Linked DNA regions of Caenorhabditis elegans. The protein of the gene in region 1 purifies or fractionates together with the protein of each later gene. This does not show direct contact. Each region holds a gene or a part of one and is shown in the gene's direction. Other genes may lie near its edges.

Region 1 (3,116 bases):
TCTCTTTAAAAGTATAATTAATTCTGATGTTTTTTCTTTAGAATTTCAGTCTTAAAACTGAAGAGTTGAAGTGATAAGAATTAAAAACACCTCACTCAGAGTATTCGTTGTACAGATCAATGATAACTTTTATTATCGTGGCGTGAGAAATGGGCAGACAGAGACTGTTCTCGAAAGCATCCGAAATTCACCAAAAACTTTCATCTTTCGGGGAACCCGGAGAACGAATCAAATGAGAAGGATAGTCACGTGGATTTGAATCATACGAATAATTCAATCTTATGAATCTCCTTTTAAAACGATTCACAACACAATAAATAATATTTTGAAGAAGGAAACCCGTGAGAATACAAAAACAAAATATTGGAATTGCAAAATGCAAGGGAAGACATGATGACGTGAATCTTGATAAGAGATGGTGTTCGATGGAAATAGAAGAGTTGTGAAGAAGACGATAACGGTATGCAACTCCTGGATGCATATGCCATTCAGACCAGTTGGCTGGAAATTATTCTCATTAATTTTTTATCATGTTGTTAACTAACACAAAAATTTAGACAGTAAAGTGGACATTGTACTTTGAAACTTTCAAATTTAGTCTTCAAGTTATGGTTCTTCGAAATTTTTTAACTAAAATTAATACCATGCTTCATTGAGTCTTGAGTCTCCTTCCGTATTCCCACTTCAGTATTCGCCACGTTTGATGACGAACACCAGGCTGAAAACCGTACTTGCTCAATTCCTGAAATTAAATCATTACAAATTTGTTGATATATTTCAGCGTAATGAGACCCATACCATAATTCACCCAATCTGTCCATTCGGACCATTTTTTACTAATTGGACACTCATCTGGGCGGCAATCTTCGTAATCCTTGTCACATCCCTCGCAGGAATTACCTTTGCAGTGCCGAGTTCTGAAACTTGGGTTACTGTACATTTCCCAATTGTTTGAACCTACCGTATCCTCAGGCTACGATCACAATCGCATCGAGACCATGGATTCCAGGATGTCCAGGATCCAAAAAGATACTCCGGTACATTTGAAGAAATTGCACAAGATTGCTTCTCAACTTTCTGGCCAGAACAAGTGGTACCAATTGGTAAAGGATTATTACACGTTCGTCTTCTTTTTCGGATACCTTCTCTACATTTCGACCATTTTGACCACGTTGACCAACCTCCTGGACGGATGCAATTCCAAATCTGCATCAAAATTTTATTGAATTGGTTTTTATCTTTTTGAATGTAGAACCTTAATTTCTCCGCCTTGTTTCGAACATTCACAGAATATACCATTATTAGATGCACACTTATTAGAGACAACTTGAGAATATAAAATGCTAGAATCATTTAAATTAGCCAACGAATATGAGAAATTGACGAAAACGAAGATATTAAACAAAACCATGACAATCATTTTCTATGAAACTCAGTTCTTACTGAATAAGTGAAATTTCTACACCCATGTTTGTTTCTCTTTTCAGATTTCGACATTCCTTCTCCTTTTCCATCTTTCAGATGTCGCCAGATGGCAGGGTTACTGTAGAAAATTTCACTTTTTGCAGTGTTAGAGTCGCGCTCCATTGCTACGCGTGAGAGATAAGAGACGGCAAAGATCTTTTTTTTTTGTTTCTCGGGCGCTATCATTTTAACTTTTAAAACTAGTAAATCTCATGATTTCTCTTGAAATTTCCATTTATAAATTTTCAAATTTACAGCTAGAATGACGGAAAATAAAGTGAATATCACTGATAACCTGGAAACCTTAAAGGAAGGCGAAATTGTGACAGACGAGAAGACCGGGAAGAAATATCGTGTCAAGAAAAATATTATGCCACATTATTCAGCTGGAGGACCACATGGATTAGGTAATTTTTAAATCAGCTTGCGGTTTTTACCATTTAAATACAATATTTGTTTTCAGGTGATCCAGAAGATCGGACTTTGAGGAAAATCGAGGCAGATGTGATTATTCCGAATAGAATGAATACCCAAATCGAAAGAGTGGATTGCAACGAATCTTATTTAGGTTTGTGAATTATTGAAATCATAAAAATAAAAGCACGATTATATAGAGTTCTATTTCTACAACAATTTCAGGACTCATCACTTGCTTTCGAACCGACGGTGCTGTTTCTGGCTTGAACACGTGTAAACCAGCTCTAGAACTCTTTAATCGATGCAAATATGAAAAGTCTGGTTATTTTAATGTATCTCAAAATAACAAGAACATATTAAGATTCCACGATCCAGCCTTCCGAGCAAAAATGACTGACGAGTACATTGCGGAACGATCGGCAGCTCGAGCTACTGGAATGACATCGCAGCAACGGAAAATTGAAGAGTTTCGGGATTGGAAGAAGACAAATGAGCAAAAGTAGAATTCTTTCTTGTTTTTCATAGTTAATTGTTTCCTTGTTTGTAGAATCAAATACAATCCATTTCTTCTGGTTTTTATACTTTTTATAGTTATTATTGTCAAGTGTTCGAGTCACTATATATTATCTCATATTCTTACCATTTCTTCATTCTAAAAATATTATTTCCAAAAACTCGTTAATTCATGAATTATTCTTTCACTTTACATTTTATTTTTGCCAGAGAATATAATAGTGCAACGACGCTCCGTTGAAAATCGATACGCGCTCTGTTTAGTTGCCAGTAAACTACGAAAACGCTGGTCCGTTAAACTTTATTGATTTTACTCTTTTAACGTTGTACGCAAAATTGAAAATTTTCTGCTAAATAGTTATTTCTGTCTGTTCTATTTCAGATATGGGGTTCGTTATTTTCTTTTTTAATTCTGAATGTGATGTTCGAAGTCGATATGTTTCGCACAAAAATAACTAAAAATTAAATAGTTGCTATTTAAAAAAGTAGGCAGCACCATTTTTTCAAACTAAAGTACTAAATAAATGCTAATTTGGAATTAACTTTTCGACGTGAACTTTTTTTGTCGAATATTATTGATTTTTCCTAATCTCCTTCAGTTCTTCTTTTTCTTTACAGAGAAGAAGTTATGTCAATTCCAGTGCCAATGGAGACAGGAGCAAATTCCGAAGCTTGGAAAAAAGCGAATGAAGCATTAATGAAGGTTTGTAAATATTTCATAT
Region 2 (2,494 bases), on another chromosome or scaffold:
CAGGGGTGTGCGGATAATAGCCGATTTAGCCGAATTAGCCGATCGGCTAATTCGGCTAACTCGGCTAATATTAGCCGAATTATCCGTTAGCCGACCTTTTTACCGATTAGCCAAATTAGCCGTTAGCCGACTTTTTGGCAGTTCGGCTAATACGTAGTTATCCGTTAGCCGATTTTGGCCGATGTCAGCCGAATTCGCCGATCGGCTATTTCGGCTAATTCAACTAACATATTTTTTTGGAAAACGAAATGTGGTGAATTTGTATGATTTTTTCCTATTTGAACAGTCGTTCATCCCTGAATTTGCTCAATAACAGTGAAAAATTAACCCAAAACCTGAATTAACAGAATGAACAAAAAAAGCTTAACCAAATGAATATTTTCCGAATTAGCCGAATTAGCCGAAAATTAGCCGATTTGAATGACTGAGATTAGCCGAATTATCCGTTAGCCGAAAATTTTGAAATTAGCCGTTAGCCGAATTAGCCGTTAGCCGGTTCTCAAAAAATCGGCATTAGCCGATTTATCCGTTAGCCGAAAAAATCGGTTATCCGCACACCCCTGGAGCTGACGTCACAAATTTTCTGGAAAAATATTCCCGCATTTTTTGTAGATCAAACCGCAGTGAGACATTCTGACACCACGTGTATTGATTGTAATATTATAGTAACTAAAAAAAACAGAGGAGGTACAAATTACGGAGGGCTCAGTATTAATCTTTCTTATATCAAGTCACGGCTGGATCGATGTCGCTGATTTTTTTAAAGGTACTGTTTTGTCGTGACTTCAATTATAACAAGGTGATATCTTTGAAACGGTCATAGTATGTTAGGTGCAGTTGAGGAAGACGACTTCTTGAGGATCCTGAAGTGGTAGTTTTGGTAGTTTAAACCAGGGGTGGGCGGCAATTGCCGTTTGGCAAATCGGCGAATTGCCGGTCTGCTGACTGACCGAAAACGGCAATTTGCCGGTTTGCCGTTTTTTCTGAAATTTTAATTTTCGGCAAATTGCCGATTTGCCATTTGCCGGATATCAATTTTTTGAAAGTGTTTTGAGGGAATTTTTTATATGACGGAAACACTTAAAACTGTACCTTTTTGAAAATTTTTCCCCGTTTTTTAAAAGATATTTTCATAGAAAATTCGTACAATTTTGTCGATTAAAATTGAATTTCTGAAATTTCCAAAAATTAGGTACAAAACTATAACTTGCCAAAAATGTGTCGCAAATTGCCGATTCGCCGAGTTTGCCGGAAATTTTAAATTTAGGCAATGTGCCAGTTTGCCGGAAAAAGTATTTTGCCGCCAGCCCTGGTTCAAAATATGGTTTCTTTTGTTTTCGGTTTGAATGGTTGTTCTAGGTAATTGTATAATTCATTTTAAGCATTGTCAAAAAAGTGATACGGAATAATTATTAATCAATCAATATTATTAATAATTGCGACCAGATTCACCTCGATAAATATTCTCGCGATCCCTTACATTAGTCGGTTTATAAAATCCAACTCCCTACGTTAATGAATTTGTCATTACTCTAAAATTCTGATTCAACGACAACAGTGATATCTGGATATAATACCTAGCAACCACCAACGAAGCAATCCCAGGGGGCACAATGAGTATGCACTTCGGTTCATTTTTCAGGTTTTCAATTTTATTTTTACGATTTTTCCCAACTTTACTTTTCCAGATGCCCCCAAAAAAGACAATGGAACAGCTTGTGAAGGATGCCGAAGAGATATGCCGTATTCAAACTCTCATGTATGAAGAGAGAATGGCTCGAGAAGCTTTGAAAAACATCTCAACTAGTTCGTCAGTCCCGGCACCCAAAAAAGTTCCGTCAACATCTCAAATTCCACCGGAATCCAAATCTCAATCCAAACGTTGGGCAGCGATGATGATCGACTTTCCAAAAGCTCAGCCACCGAAAAGCCAAGAAGACACCAAATCTAAGCAATCCTCAGCTGATGGTGGACATTAAATATGTGGGTTTTTTTTTGGGTGAACGTTAGAAACTATTATATTTTGAAAAAGGGCAATTTTTAGGGTTTGGAGATAAATTTTGAGCCCTCTAGCTATAAAATTAGTCATTTTACAGGAGTTTCAAAATTGTGACTTTTTACAATAAATTGCCCAATTTTGCCACTTTTTAATATTTTTTGGTGGGTTAAACCTAGATTTTCTTCCTGAATTTTGTATATATGAATTACCTGTTTTTAACAAATTTCATCCAAAAAAACCCTAATAAAGTCTTTGAAAGTGTGTAATATTCTAGGTTTTTTTTTGGTGGTGTGCGAAAAAAGTCGCAGATGTTAAATTTTGCATTGAAATCAACGGAAGTCCAACTAATGCATACAGTTACTAATACCACTAGAGCTAGCATCAGCGCTACTGAAATCGACCGGCAACTTTGATAACTGTTGCCAGTAGTTGAATATGTATTTCAGGTCCGCATCAGGCCTTTTGATATCGGCAATTGTCAGCTTTGGTTGAACA
Region 3 (3,320 bases), on another chromosome or scaffold:
TGCCCACTTTCACCGCTGCTTGCCCACTGAATACATGATTTTTTTACTTGGAAATTGTTTTAGCATCTGCAAAAAATATTTATTTATCAGTTTTATTAAGAAAAAACGGGAAAAAGCTGTGAAAAACGAAAGAAAACACGCGGAAAAAAAGCAAGATAAATGGCCGCTGAAACTTGTCGGCCCCTCGGCCATGGCCTAGAAACCACTTTTCCTCGTCCCTCGTGAGGAAAAAGTTGCAGTGTTGGGGTAAAAAACTACGCTGAGCTCGATTTTCAGCTTTTTTGGGGTCTAAAAGCTGCTCTAAAAGCCTAAAAGCCTTAGTTTTAGCTAAAAATCCCAAATATTGTACCTTCAGAGCCCACAACATAATCCATATTCTCAGGATTCCGTCCACATTGCCCAAAATTATTATCACCAATCGCAAAAACGCCCAAATTGGTTCGAATCAGCGAGTGCGCTCTACCGGACGAAATCTCGAGAATTTCGTCGCCGGGAATATTGATTTTCTTTGCGGATATATAATAATCCTGATATTTGTTGATATTCGTCAATTGGCCACCGATCTGGAAGCTAAATTCGTGATTTTTGAGGGTTTTTTGGTATTTTTTACAATTATTAGGGAAAAAAAATCAATAAAAACAGCTGTTTTTTTTTTGATTTTTCGCTGAAAAATCGATTTTTTAGAGCACTTTTTCGTAAAAAAATGGCTTTTTTTTGGCGAAAAACATGAAATTTCTCAAATTTTTCAGAAAAATTGTTTAAAATAGGTAGATTTTTAAATTTTGAGAATTTTCTGTGAGAAATTAGAAAAAAAGGGTTTTGGGAAGAAATTATCGAATTTTCGTTGTTTTTTCTCGGAAAAGTCGGGATTTTTGAGGATTTTCAGTGAAAAACTGCTAAAAATCTGCTTTTTGAAGCTTTTTGGCAACGTTTTATCGATTTTTCGGAAAAATAATGAGAAACCCCCTAATTTTTGTATTTTTATTCAATTTTTCAATGAAAAATCGTATTTTTTCCAATTTTTTTGGGAAAACTCATTTAAAAACGCAATAAAACTGATTTTTTCGATTTTTTTCCAGTTTCTTGAGTTTTTTAATCGATTTTTCAGATTCTTCCGCTCATCTTGACAAATTTAAAGCCCTTTTTCAGAAAAATCCAGCGTTTTTCAGAGTTTTTGGGCCAAAATCGCCAATTTATCGATTTTTCCAGAGAATTTCCTGCGAAAATCCCACCGATTATTAATTCCAGCACCGTAGAGGCGATTTTTCGACGCAAAAAGCGAAAATCCAAAGCCTGAGCTTATAAATTTTTTTATAAAAAGTTTTTCTCAATTTTTCACCCAAAAGATTCAAAAAGCAAGAGCGCTCTATTGGACTCAATTGGCTGCGTACTTGAACGCGTGTAAAACGTTGATTACTCAGTCAACACGATTTACGGAGTGAACAGCCCGCAACGGCGAGCCGTTGTTACATTGCCAATTTATTGATTTTTCTGGAGATTTTGCCAAGTTTTATGCAAAAATTAAAAGGAACCACATATTTCCATCGTTTGTTCGTATTCCGGCTAGTTTAATCCTTAAAACACGAAGAGAGAACGGTTTTTGATTATTAATATATTGCACCCGTGTGTTCTGTTGTTTGTTCGTTTCTGACTAAAACTATCCTCTTCCACGTTTCCATCGGTGTTTTCCGTCGGCCACTTTAGAAATTACTTTAGAAATTCATTTTTATTATGAAAATAGTTCATTTGAGTATGTTTTTTTCATTTCTCCACACTGACGCCGGATTTACCTTTTGTTTTTTGGTTTTTCCTGCATTTTCAACCCATAAACCAGTTATTTATTTCAGGTATGTTGGCTCGTCAAATGATGCTGCCACGTTTGGCTCTCCGCGCAGTGCACACCACCGCCCGTCTGTCCGGAGGACAGGAATTCTACTGGGGACCCGATAAGGCCGCTGGACGCGAGCTCGTCGGATACGGAGCAAATGGAGATAACGTACGCCTTGTTTATTTTATAAATTTTAAATTTAATTAATTTATTTTTCAGATCTACCAAGATCGTCTCGACTACTGGTATCCAGCTATTCGATTCCGCAAGGAGGACAGTGTGATTGCCCCAATTCGCGCCAAGGAGCAAGCCGACTGGAAGAACTTGTCTGCTGAGGAGAAGAAGCTCTGTTAGTATTCAATTTTCCTCGACAAACTTGAAAATGTTGCTAAGTTTTCAGTGTACCGCTACAGCTTCCGTCAAACGCTGTCCGAATTCGAGGCTCCAACCGGATACTGGAAGGTGATCTCCGCCGTTATCCTCTCCGTGCTCGGACTTTGCACCTATTATGCTGTTCTTCTCAACGTCTGCGTGTACCCAGAACTGCCGCCAACCTTCCAGAACGAGTACAAGGAGGCTCAGGTTGAGCGTGCGCTTGTGCTCGAGAAGGGACAATTCCTCGGTGCACCGACACACTACGATTACGAGAACAAGAAGTGGAAGTAAAATATAGAGATTCAGCAGAAATAAAATAAAATTTTTTTGTAGCTTCTTTCTCGTTTTTATAATTCTCTCTTGGTTGTCGTCGCTCCCCCCGCCCCATCACTCTCTCGTCAAACATTCAAGCTTACCTTCTTCTTCATCGCCCCAACCCTCATCTGAAACCTAGATAAGCTGTAAATCTCTCCTAGCGGTCGAACGCACTGACCAATTCTTTCGTCTCCCCCAATTTTTTCTTCAAATTTTCCAAGTGGTTCGGCTTCTTGAGAGATGGGCTGCCCTGTAAACCAGAAATAAATAGATTGAATGTTGCTGTTAAATCCAGGAGGCAATAATTTATTTATTTCTTTACAAAAGTGAAATTTTAGTTTGACACTCGGAGATAGCGGGTAGTAGCGAGGAAAATGGTTCGGGTTGGGGAGAATCTGATTTAAATTGTGACATTTTCAGGATTTTCGTCATTAAGTGATCCGATTTTTGCGATGCGTCCGATTCGTTTCCATCGGTTTCTGGAAGTTGAGCAGTTGAAATTGTGGAAGCACTTTTCGATAGACTGGATGGCTTCCCAACTCGCTTGATCTTCCCGAACAGTGCACCCATCGCAGCCATCGATTTTCTATGAACCGACATTTGAGGGATCTGAAACTTCTAATTCTAGATTTTGAAAATCTCAAGCCACCCAAACCGTAATCTTTGCCACCGGAACAACTGAACCTTCAGCGCCAGTCAGCATATTCCTGCCAACCTGAATCTGCTCAGCGACCGACGAAATATACTCATTGGCTTCTTCCAAGGATTTCAGACGGATTGCAGTATTATTAAATAACCGAAC

What was found.
Region 2: the proteins of F01F1.2 (region 1) and F56C3.10 fractionate together in Caenorhabditis elegans (co-fractionation; one large-scale study listed by BioGRID). This does not show direct contact.
Region 3: the proteins of F01F1.2 (region 1) and cox-4 fractionate together in Caenorhabditis elegans (co-fractionation; one large-scale study listed by BioGRID). This does not show direct contact.

The regions. Positions count from the first base shown.
Region 1 is NC_003281.10:5,876,833-5,879,948, forward strand, and holds F01F1.2 (COX assembly mitochondrial protein), read left to right. Parts: upstream 1-1,721; 5' UTR 1,722-1,726; coding exon 1,727-1,871; intron 1,872-1,927; coding exon 1,928-2,032; intron 2,033-2,103; coding exon 2,104-2,197; intron 2,198-2,242; coding exon 2,243-2,384; 3' UTR 2,385-2,583; downstream 2,584-3,116. Other genes in the region: mig-21 (Abnormal cell migration protein 21), read right to left, coding at 188-501, 644-742, 799-917, 962-1,206, 1,256-1,420; hpo-10 (SAC3/GANP/THP3 conserved domain-containing protein), read left to right, coding at 2,779-2,783, 3,013-3,097.
Region 2 is NC_003284.9:1,380,860-1,383,353, reverse strand, and holds F56C3.10 (Ovule protein), read left to right. Parts: upstream 1-1,688; coding exon 1,689-1,979; downstream 1,980-2,494.
Region 3 is NC_003279.8:13,657,656-13,660,975, reverse strand, and holds cox-4 (Cytochrome c oxidase subunit 4), read left to right. Parts: upstream 1-1,847; 5' UTR 1,848-1,864; coding exon 1,865-1,996; intron 1,997-2,047; coding exon 2,048-2,177; intron 2,178-2,228; coding exon 2,229-2,494; 3' UTR 2,495-2,805; downstream 2,806-3,320. Other genes in the region: sac-2 (SAC domain-containing protein), read right to left, coding at 2,837-3,127, 3,174-3,320.